3 linked regions of the Rattus norvegicus genome follow. The protein of the gene in region 1 purifies or fractionates together with the protein of each later gene. This does not show direct contact. Links are inferred from orthologs where the notes say so. Each region holds a gene or a part of one and is shown on either strand. Other genes may lie near its edges.

The links.
Region 2: the proteins of Tonsl (region 1) and Asf1b purify together in Homo sapiens (affinity purification with mass spectrometry; 5 studies listed by BioGRID and IntAct, counting the BioPlex papers as one, with this or other methods). This does not show direct contact. The link is inferred for Rattus norvegicus from reciprocal best matches to the Homo sapiens genes TONSL and ASF1B.
Region 3: the proteins of Tonsl (region 1) and Ssrp1 purify together in Homo sapiens (affinity purification with mass spectrometry; 5 studies listed by BioGRID and IntAct, counting the BioPlex papers as one, with this or other methods). This does not show direct contact. The link is inferred for Rattus norvegicus from reciprocal best matches to the Homo sapiens genes TONSL and SSRP1.

Annotation. Positions count from the first base shown.
Region 1 is NC_086025.1:110,226,104-110,228,856, reverse strand, and holds the end of Tonsl (tonsoku-like protein), read left to right. Parts: coding exon of another isoform or gene 1-21; exon of another isoform or gene 22-111; intron 112-1,904; coding exon 1,905-2,086; 3' UTR 2,087-2,161; downstream 2,162-2,753. UniProt on the Homo sapiens protein: Component of the MMS22L-TONSL complex, a complex that promotes homologous recombination-mediated repair of double-strand breaks (DSBs) at stalled or collapsed replication forks.
Region 2 is NC_086037.1:41,090,330-41,093,981, forward strand, and holds part of Asf1b (histone chaperone ASF1B), read right to left. Parts: intron 124-3,652; coding exon 8-123; intron 1-7. UniProt on the Homo sapiens protein: Histone chaperone that facilitates histone deposition and histone exchange and removal during nucleosome assembly and disassembly. Cooperates with chromatin assembly factor 1 (CAF-1) to promote replication-dependent chromatin assembly.
Region 3 is NC_086021.1:90,530,324-90,534,075, reverse strand, and holds the start of Ssrp1 (FACT complex subunit SSRP1), read right to left. Parts: upstream 2,594-3,752; 5' UTR 2,426-2,593; coding exon of another isoform or gene 2,301-2,425; coding exon 2,247-2,300; intron 1,826-2,246; coding exon 1,640-1,825; intron 672-1,639; coding exon 566-671; intron 313-565; coding exon 122-312; intron 19-121; coding exon 1-18. Other genes in the region: P2rx3 (P2X purinoceptor 3), read left to right, coding at 3,246-3,257. UniProt on the Homo sapiens protein: Component of the FACT complex, a general chromatin factor that acts to reorganize nucleosomes. The FACT complex is involved in multiple processes that require DNA as a template such as mRNA elongation, DNA replication and DNA repair.

The sequences.
Region 1 (2,753 bases):
CATGTGGTTGCTGGAAATTGAACTCAGGACCTCTGGAAGAGCAGTCAATGCTCTTAACTACTGAGCCACCTCTCCAGTCCCCCAAAATAAAAATTTCAATGAAAATGAAAAGCATTAAGGGCCTTTCCACAGGTATACTTCGTCATTCCTTTTTAAAAGTTTTATTTGCATTTATTTATTTATTTATTTATTTATTTATTTATTTTTTTGGTTCTTTTTTTCGGAGCTGGGGACCGAACCTAGGGCCTTGCGCTTCCTAGGCAAGCGCTCTACCACTGAGCTAAATCCCCAACCCCGCGCTTATTTTTAAAAACTAATTTCTTTTATAAAAATTTAGGTTTTCCTGTATGTCTGTACACAATGTGTATGTCTGGCACCTCTAGCGCTGGAGTTTCTGGTGACTGAGTTACCATGTAGGGGCTGGAAACCCAACGAGGTCCTCTGCGAGAGCAGAGCTGTCAGCCGTCTCCAGATCCAGTTTACATTTATTTAACTCCTGTGGCACGATTTTTGTTTCTTCAGGTTTTTGTTGTGTTGTTTTGTTTTCAGACAGGGTTTCTCTGTGTATGCCTAGCAGCCCTGGAACTCACTGTGTAAACCAGAATGGCCTTGAACTCATAGAGATCTGCCTGCCTCTGATCCCTGAGCGCTGGGGCTAACGGTGTGCGCCACCACCGCCCGGCTCTTTCTTTGGGATACCTTTTCTTCTGTGCAGACTCCTCTTTTGGCTAGGAACAGTTTGTTCCTCTTCAGTGAGCATCATCTTACTGAGGCAGGGGGAACTCATGGGTTAGTCCACCATGAACTCTGTAAGTTCAACAGTGTTCCTTTGGGGGTTGGGGATTTAGCTCAGTGGTAGAGCGCTTGCCTAGGAAGCGCAAGGCCCTGGGTTCGGTCCCCAGCTCCGAAAAAAAGAAAAGAAAAGAAAAAAAAAAAAAAAAACAGTGTTCTTTTGCTTCGTGAATAGAGAGAATCTATACCCAAACCCTGTAAATTCATCAAAACCAGCACTCTGGGGGCCACTGGCTGACTGTCTGGCCTGGTGAAAATCTCCCAACTCCACCCTTATAGACCTCTGGAACAGCACTCTGCTTCTTTAAAGTGGCATTTTTCAGATACACATGCATGCCCTCACAGCCTAGGCTGCACCACAGGAATTCAAGATTTGAACCTCTTTTAGTCCTGGCTATTCTGGAACTCTGTAATGGTTCCTGTCTACCTGGAGAGTACTGAGATTAAAGGTGGGTGCCACCAGGGCAGGCATGATTTGGACCTCTTGATTTGCATATTGTGGGGTTTTCTGGGTCAAGAGAGCACATCATCATCACTTACAGGAGCCTTCTTTCCTCATTCTTGTGAGCCGGAAGCCACTCAAAATAATGCAAGCTCCACCAAAGGGGTGCTCGCTCTCTCAACCCCCCCACCCCCCCACCCCACCCCCCACACACTCAGACAGTACCTACTAATAAGGTAACTTGTTCTGTTGCACTAAAGCATTCTCCACCTTAGAGGTGTACCTGATGGCCTGGCCTGGCTTTGCCTTGCCCATCTGAGATTTGAGAGTGGCAGGCTGTGCCCTTGGAGGATAAAGGCTGAACACAGGGGAGCTCCTGGGTTTCTCCTGTACCTTACCCCCTCCGTCCAACACATTGGTATTTCTGGTATCTGTGTCCTTTTATCCAGTTCCATGATATATGTATCCTTGAGCCTACTGGGATCTCTGGCTTGATGATCAAAGTCCTGGCATTCAGTAGCCTCCAGAGATCCATGGGCCCATGGTACAGATATATTGATTGAGTCCTTTTTATGATGGGACAAACCCAAACGTAGACTCTGAGGTACAACATGAGCACTATGCCTCCTGTGGGTGTGCAAGTTAAACCTACGTCCTCTCACCCCCACAGGCTGCTCCATTCAGGGGCCCCTGAACTCTGACCTCTGGGACAAGATCCTCTCGCAGTTGCAGGAGCTGCAGTTGTGCAGCAAAGACCTGACCACAAAAGACCGAGACACCCTGTGTCAGAGACTGCCGGCGGGTGCGTGCACACTGAACCAAGGTTCCAAGCTCTTCTTTAAATGCCTCTGACCCTGGCCCTGCCGTTTCTGCCAAAAAAAAAAAAAAGAAAAAAAAAAACCTTAATAAATTATGCTGCTATCTCATTCCTGTGGCTGACTACAAAAAGGGTGGGCGATGTGAGGCTTAAAAGCCTTGAGGGGCTGGGTTGGGGATTTGGCTCAGTGGTAGAGCGCTTGCCTAGCAAGCGCAAGGCCCTGGGTTCGGTCCCCAGCTCCGGGCGGGGGGGAAGCCTTGAGGGGCGGAGCTACTCCAGAGCGCAAGCTCAGGCAAAGAAGTTGAGTGCCGACCTACGGATTGGGCTTGCTATGTGCGTAGGCTCAAGTTGGAGAATGAGCGCCGAGCTGCCGATCGGGTTTCCCGGCAGGCGCAGGCGGAAAAAGCGAGCACCGAGCTTCTGTCGCCATCTCCGGGACTCCAAACGCCCCAGGTACACAGCGGCAGTGGGCGGGTCCCCTCCTCGTGGGAACCCTTGGGCTAGGTGTCTCGGTCCCTTCTCCTTTAGGGCTCTGCGGCCCTTGCCGCGCGGCCAGTGTCTCAGGCGATGGGCGCTGTCAGGTGGCTTTTCTGGTTCACAGCTCAGGTTCCCCTGACTGAGGGTACCCACCTTTCTTCTGTGACTCTGCCGGCTGTTCCTAGCTCCTGAGACCTCAGTAGCTCTGGCTCTTCATCAGGCCAC
Region 2 (3,652 bases), on another chromosome or scaffold:
TACTTACCTGAAAGACGAACATATGCCTTCCTGCAGGAACAGGGCCCACCAGCACTGAGTCTAGGATCTGATCAAACTCCTCGCTCTCAGCTGAGCCCACATAAATGATCTTCCACTCAAGGTCTGCAAGAACATGGGGGATAAGGGAGTTGAGGACTGACACTGCTGAGAGCAAGGTCTTTTTGTCAGCATCAGGTGAATCTGAATATACTAGAAGGTCCTATAACTGCTGGGCAATAGGCCCTGGCACCACAGTCCTGAATTAGAGCAAAATGAAGATCCACTTTAATGGAGACATTTTTTTCCTAATTCTGCCAAGTGACCTTGACTCTGGCCCTCCAGGGAAACTTAGGCCTCTCAGTAGCTGAGAGGAAGCATAGAGCAGAGACTGATCCAAGAGTCCTGTGACAAGGCTTGTGAGGGAACAGCAGGGAGTTAGGCTGCCCTGGTCTCTGGGTAGGAAGTGCCATCCTCTTTCACAGAAGGGTTGGTGCCACCCTAGTAGAGCAGATCCCTCGATAACTGGGGCAGGGTGGCAGATTCCAATCCAGCAGGACAGCCAGGTGGCAGGAGGAGAAAGGCAAAGCTGCGGGGGGAACCAACTTGTCCCAAACTTGTCCACATCTGGCACCGACTCATGCCTACTTGTGCACATTGTGGGACAGAGGCTCTGCCAGCAAATGGTGTGTGATAAGGCATCCCTCCAAACCTGACTCTGTACTCCATCACTAAGGGGGCTTGGTCCTGGAGTATACCCACAAGAGATGAAAGAAAAAGTACCTGGAGACCCTTCCCACTGATCTTAGGAGAGCCCTGGTACTCATAGCCTCTTGTAGGGGGGCCAAGTATTACCAGGAGCAAGGTCATGCTAGTACAGAGAAGCTTGGCATCAGACCCAGAACTTATTTTAGGCTCTTTGAAATTACACAACCCCTAGCTCCAGCAGCTGGGAAAAGTTGCACAAGCTGAGATTTTCAGAGAACTCTTGGAAGCTGCCTGCTCTTGGTCCAGTGTGGTGCAGGCATCCAACACACTGGAAGCACACAGATCATATGTGGAGTTTGTCACCTGGATCATAAAGCTCTCCTTTATACATCTATTCCCTTGTTCCTTCACACGTTCACCCAGATCTTTCTGGTGACCCCATGCCCACGGTTCACCAGGTTCAAACTCCAGCCTCAGCATTTTGGGGAAATTATTAGGTATTTCATTTTTTAAGCTTTATTTTCTTATGTGCATCCCCTTTTATTTTATGTGCATGGGGTGTTTGCCTGCATGTCTGTCTTTGCACCCTTTGGTGCCTGGGCTCAGCGGCCAGAAGATGGTGTTGGGTCTCTGGAACTAGAGGTACTGTAGTGGGTTGGTCTAGTGCTAATTGTATTCAAATGCTAACTCCTGTATCCAAGATCTGGCTGCTCCACGACAAGCCTTCACTTATACCAACCAGCCTTTGTTGTGTAAACCTTGTTCCCCAAGATATCCCTGATTGGTTAGTAAAGATGCCTAGAGTATGTAGAGCAGAAGAGAAGTAGGCGGGGCTTCAGGTCCTGGGACTGGGGTATCAGGCAGGCACCACAGTGAGAGAAGAAATAAGTTATCATGAGGTAGGTGGATCACGAGTGCATGACCATGAGGGCTGCCTGCCTATTGGAGTAGGAGTGACCCAGGCAGAACATGGCAAGTTCTCAGTTATTAACAGCGAAGTAGACAAAACATAAAAGGTTGATATCTGCCTAGCTCTAACAGTTTAAAGCTTATTATAATATTTTATTTATTTATTATATATATGAGTACACTGTAGCTGTCTTCAGACACACCAGAAGAGGGCATCAGATCTCATTACAGATGGTTGTGAGCCACCATGTGGTCGCTGGGATTTGAACTCAGGACCTCGGGAAGAGCAGTCGGTGCCCTTAACCACTAAGCCATCTCTCCAGCCCTTAAAGCTTATTATAAATGTAAAGGATTTTGTCTTTTATTTGAAAACTATGATCTAAGTCAGATAGAAATCCCCAAAATAATATTTACCACAACATTTGGCAAACCAACGAGGGGTAAGAACTTACTTATAACCCAAATTGAAATTTCAAATTCCCTGGATGAAAAGTGCATTGGAGACGGCTCAGTGGTTAAGAGCACTGACTGCTTTTCCAGAGGTCCTGAGTTCAATTCCCAGCATCCACATGGTGGCTCACAACCATCTGTAATGGGATCCGATGCCCTCTTCTGGTGTGTCTGAGGACAGCTACAGTGTATTCACATACATGAAATAAATAAATCTTACAAAAAAAAAAAAAAAAAAAGATGCGTTGCCCCATTAAGATAGAAGTAGTTAACAACTATGTGGGTGCTGGGAACTAAACCTGGGTTCTTTGGGAGAGTAATCAGTGGTCTAACTGTAGAGCACTCTTTCTAGCTGTCCCCAGCTGTTTATTTCTGAGGAGTGCTGGTGATGGAACTTAGGGCGCATGCCAAAAAAGTGCTGTACATCTGAGCCGTGCTCCCAGACCCATGGATCTAGTTGTATAAAAACTGACACTCTAGAATCAGTGATTCTGGAAGGACAGAGAAGTATGTGACTCTTGCTTGATCTCACTTGCTGAGATGACTCTGTCAAGCTTTACTTTCCTCAGGGCCCTTCCCCCAAGCCCCATGGTGTCACATATTTGTACACTTAATCAATGTGTTGGAGGGAATGCCAGGCAAAAAAGAGTTTGACACAGAATATTCCCTGTGTCCCCAAGGCACCCAACATTGCTTAGTCTAGGTCAATACCTTTGGCAAAACCTTTTAAAACACTGTAGTGTACACTAGAAGCCAGCAGATGGTGAGCCCCGTCTTGACATGGGCCTGAAACAGACCAGAGAATTCACAAAAGACCACATAAAATACGGACTGGCTACAGTCAGAGCTGATCAAATCTATAGAAATAGATGGTGAAATAAGGTGCAATAATTTTAAATTTTAAGTTTTTCTCATAGTTTCTTCCTTTAAAAGACAGAATTGCACTGGATATATCTTTAATCTCAGCTTGTGAGACATAACTTTAAAAAAAATGACAGAGTTGGGTTTGAGAAATGGCTCTGAGGGTTAAGGCACAAAATATAAAGACCTAGCTCAATCTCCAAAATACATATGGTGGAAGGAGAGCCAATTCCAGCAGGCTGTTCTCTGACCTCTGCAAGCACTAGCACATACATACACATATGTAAAAACACAGGAACAACTAATACAGTCTTCCTTTGTAATGTAGGCTAGTCCAGGACTTTAACATACCTGCAAGCCTTCCAAGTATTGGAATTACAAGAGTGCACCCATGTGTGTCTCTCACTGAATCCGGAGCTTATTTGGTTGGTGAGATTGGTAGCCAGTGCACCCTTGGGATCCATTCATCTATACCTTTTGCAATCCCCTGCTTGTACCTGAGTGTTGAACATTCAAACTCAGGTCCTTCCTGAGCCATTTCCTCACACTGGAATGCAGTATTTTGAACAGAGAGAAACTAAAGATTTCACTTCAGAATATACTCAGCTTTTAGCACCTGTAGGTTATATAACCATAAACTCAACCAACTAGATAGAAAATATTAGAAAAACAACCCGGGGCTGGAGGCATAGCCCAGAGGTAGAATACCAATCTAGCATTCATGATT
Region 3 (3,752 bases), on another chromosome or scaffold:
GACATTCTGGGCAAAGGCCTATGAACACACATGGGTATTCAAACAGCCAGCCTCTGCTCCCAGGCGAGCCGGCCAAAGTATACTCGGCAATGTCCAGCAGCCCAATATACAGAAGCCTTACCTCCACAGGGTCCACTCCATCTTCCTGCGTGGGAGGGACATAGAAGCGCACCTCCATGAGAGATACTTCAGCATCATCGTTCTGGTGGAATTCCAGGGTCACCTCATTCTTGCCTGTTGTACACTGGGACACATTGCTTAGGGGTATCTCAAAGACTGGTTGATCACCAATGTCAAAAGAAAGCAGCTGCCCTGTGAGGAAAGAGCTTGTCAAATCGCAAGCTCCTCCCCAAGAGTCGACAGAAGCAGTCCCACCAAGACAGAGGACTGGAGGAACTACCAAAGCCAGGCACAGTGTCTGGTGGACCGTGCATGCTGGACAAATCCATGCTAAACACACAGACTGAAATTAAGAAATTAGAGCCAAGGAAAGAGTAAAGAAAGGTACTGTCTGAGGCCCTTCTTCACCCCACCTTCTCCCCAAAGCTCAATCTCCCTCACTCACCACCAAATTTCACTGTCCCCCAGTTCCAGCCCTTCACACAGAGATCCTTCTCCATCAGCTCAAGGCGATAGTGGGTTTTGAAAAAGTCAGAGAGCTTCTCAAATTCCTGTAAATCAAAAGGAGAAAGTGCGGTCCCAGTTAAACCTCTGGGCCTTAACACAAATGTCCTGAGATTCTGTAGCTCAGTTCACCAATGTGTCTTCCTCAGAAACTACAGCTAACTAAGTATACCGACTCTGAAAACATTTTAAAACACTTTTACTTTGTTACTAGAGGCAGTTTCTAGAACCCAGATGCTCTCAGCCCTACTCTCAGGGATGTCCTTCTTTCAAGCCTTTTCTCTTAACCTTTATGCTTAAAACCCTTTAAGTGCTAGAGACCTGATGGCCTAGCAGTTAAGGGAACTTTTTCTGATATAAGACCTTGGAGTCATTCTCAGCACCCCACAGTGGTTCACAACTGTCTGTAACTCTAGTTCCAGTTGATCCAATGCCTTCCTCTGAGCTCTGCGGACACCAGGCATGCACATGGTGCACAGGTTTGCATGCTAGCAAAGCCTCATGCACATAAAATAAATAATTTTTAATGAATGAAAAATTTTTTTAACAACAGCAACAACAAAAACCTTTTGTTTCTGGGGTCTCTGGCTAAGTGTAGTAAAGAAAGTTAAATTCCCAGATACGTGTATGACCTTACTGAGTTTCTAAACTTTGTATAGGTGATCTTTTGATAAAAGTGGATATTAAAACCAAGTAACTCAAAAGCAGCTCAAAATGGAAAAGCAAAATCCTAGAGCACCAAGCTAGAATTTCTGAACCAGGACAGAAGGAGCAAGTGGAAACCACCACCTAAATTAAGGTGGTAAAAAACCTTCTGGAGTCTAGGCACAAGACACGGGTACTGAATATAGAAAACACTGGTTTTCTTGTTCAATAGTCTCCAACCGCCCTGCTCTGAGGAACCCAAATGAACAATGACATGATTATCAGAGGAACAGAAACTGTCTCTAGAAGATTAAAATAAACAAGACAAGGCAGTCACAAAGAGAGGGGGTCACAGAACAAGACTGCTCACCGATTCACGGAAGCCATCATACTTGTAGACATGCCCATTCTTTGTGAGCAGTTTAAGTCCATGGCCTAATGCTACCCGACGCCAGATGCCTTCGGTCAACTCCCCGGCCTGGATGTTGTCCACTTTGCCCGTCTTGCTGTTCTTAAAGATGATACCCTGACGGCTCAATCGAAGCCTCCCATCATTCTGCCCAAAATACAGACCCAAAATCAGAACAGGATACACACGAAGCGGGTCCTTTCAACCCCTTATCCATACAATAATACAGGCTGGCCATTTTATCAATAAAAAGGCAACAGGTTGTGGTGAAATCAAGTCAAAAGACACAAGAGACATTAAGATTTTCAGTCTTGAAAGCTTGGCTCTAGTGTCAGAAACCCTGTAAGGGCTCCAGTTCCCGGTTTTTTAACACAGGGATTTAGGATAGAACTACACATGCAATCTCTTCAAACTCAGTATCATGTAACTCTTGAGACTTTGCGGATGTTTTCGCTTGGCGGACACTGATACACTGTTTCTAAAAGAGTAGTCAGAGTTAAGCTTTTTGTTAATAAAACAAGAACTCTTTCCCATCTCTGCCTTTATTAAAAGCCCAAGTCATTCTCACCATGGACCCTTTCACCTCCTGGAAGATGTCGTTGAACTCCAATGTCTCTGCCATGTTCACCTGCCCGTGGTGTTCTGAGCACACAGCCCTAAGCTGCACCAGAGAAAAACGAACCCTTATCTGGATGCTGGGTCCCAATTCCTGGTTAGGTGTGTAGAGATGTTCAGCAGGGTGTGAATCTGAATTCGGGAAGGAGACTGATAAGCAAGAAACGACACCTTACTCCGATCACCCATGAGTAGCTGTGCCTGGAATATCTCAAGTTCTCTACTGCCTGGGAATCTTACTGACCGGCTCTGCAGCGCTCCTGAGGCCAAGGCCCAGGACCCTAGGTGCAGAGCCAGGCCTATAGTGGCACTTACATCTCAACCCGACACCCTCTCGGTACGTTCCACCGACAGGCACCGCAACAATCGGCGGAACCTGGGACCGGCTCAGAGAGCGCACCTCAACTCCGCTCAGAGGGTAGTGTCCTGATCGCAGCGATCCCACCACCCCGAGGCCCCCGTGAATCTACGTTTCTCCCCCTTCTTTTAAAATGGATTCGCCCACTGCCCGCGAATTTGAACGCGGATCGATCCATCCCAATCGTCCCGCGGGGGAGCAGGGCCCATGCACACCCGGAGCCCGGGAATCGCGACCACCCACCTCTTCGAACTGCAGCCTCGCGACGACACAGTGAGGGCGGTGGGCGCAGGGGGACGCAGGGGAGGGGATAGGGATACGGGGGAGGGGGTGCCGGGGAACCTTTTCCCGCGTGCGCGGTTCCGCGTCCCGCCACCGGAAGTCGCGCACAAACCATAGAGAGGAAGACCTGGCTAGAAAGGCACCATCCGGGCCGACCAACGGGACTGTCGCCTAGAGCGTCGGTGCCCCTGGTCGTCTAAAGCGAGGGTCTTGCTACGGGATCCCACGAGGCTGATTTCTTGATTAGAAAACGGGATCGCTTCTTAGAAAGTTACAGGCTGCTCTTCAAAGACTAGATTCCGAGGGGAAATTATGCGGTTTCAGGTTTGTATGTTTGTTGGAATCATGCAGGTTCCTCCCTCCTGTGAATAATCTGGGAAGGAGTCTGTTGAACCAAAAAATAAATAAATAAATAAGTAAATAAGTAAATAAAAAATAAAAATACAGAGCTGTGGCCAGAAATGTCGCCTCCGCTAGCTGCAAAGGGAATGCGGGTGTCGGTGATTGTGCTTGCTTTCCAGCTGTACCCTGGCAAGCAGATGAGATCCTTTCTGAAATGAGTTCACCTTCCACCCCCAACACCATCCCATCCATATCCCTAATTTGTGGGTTCTCAGGAAGAGCCCAGCAGATGGCTGCATTAAGTTCAAGTGGTGGTGTCAGATTTACCTTTGAGCTAGAACTTACTTGAAATCACATCAGCCTGCGTTGGCAGAAGCCTGGATGGCCTCACATAGCACCAGAGTGCATCTTGCAAAATCTGAAGCCAGGTCTGAAAGAGATGCTTGAGTTTATCTTGCCTTCCTCATTTTACAGATG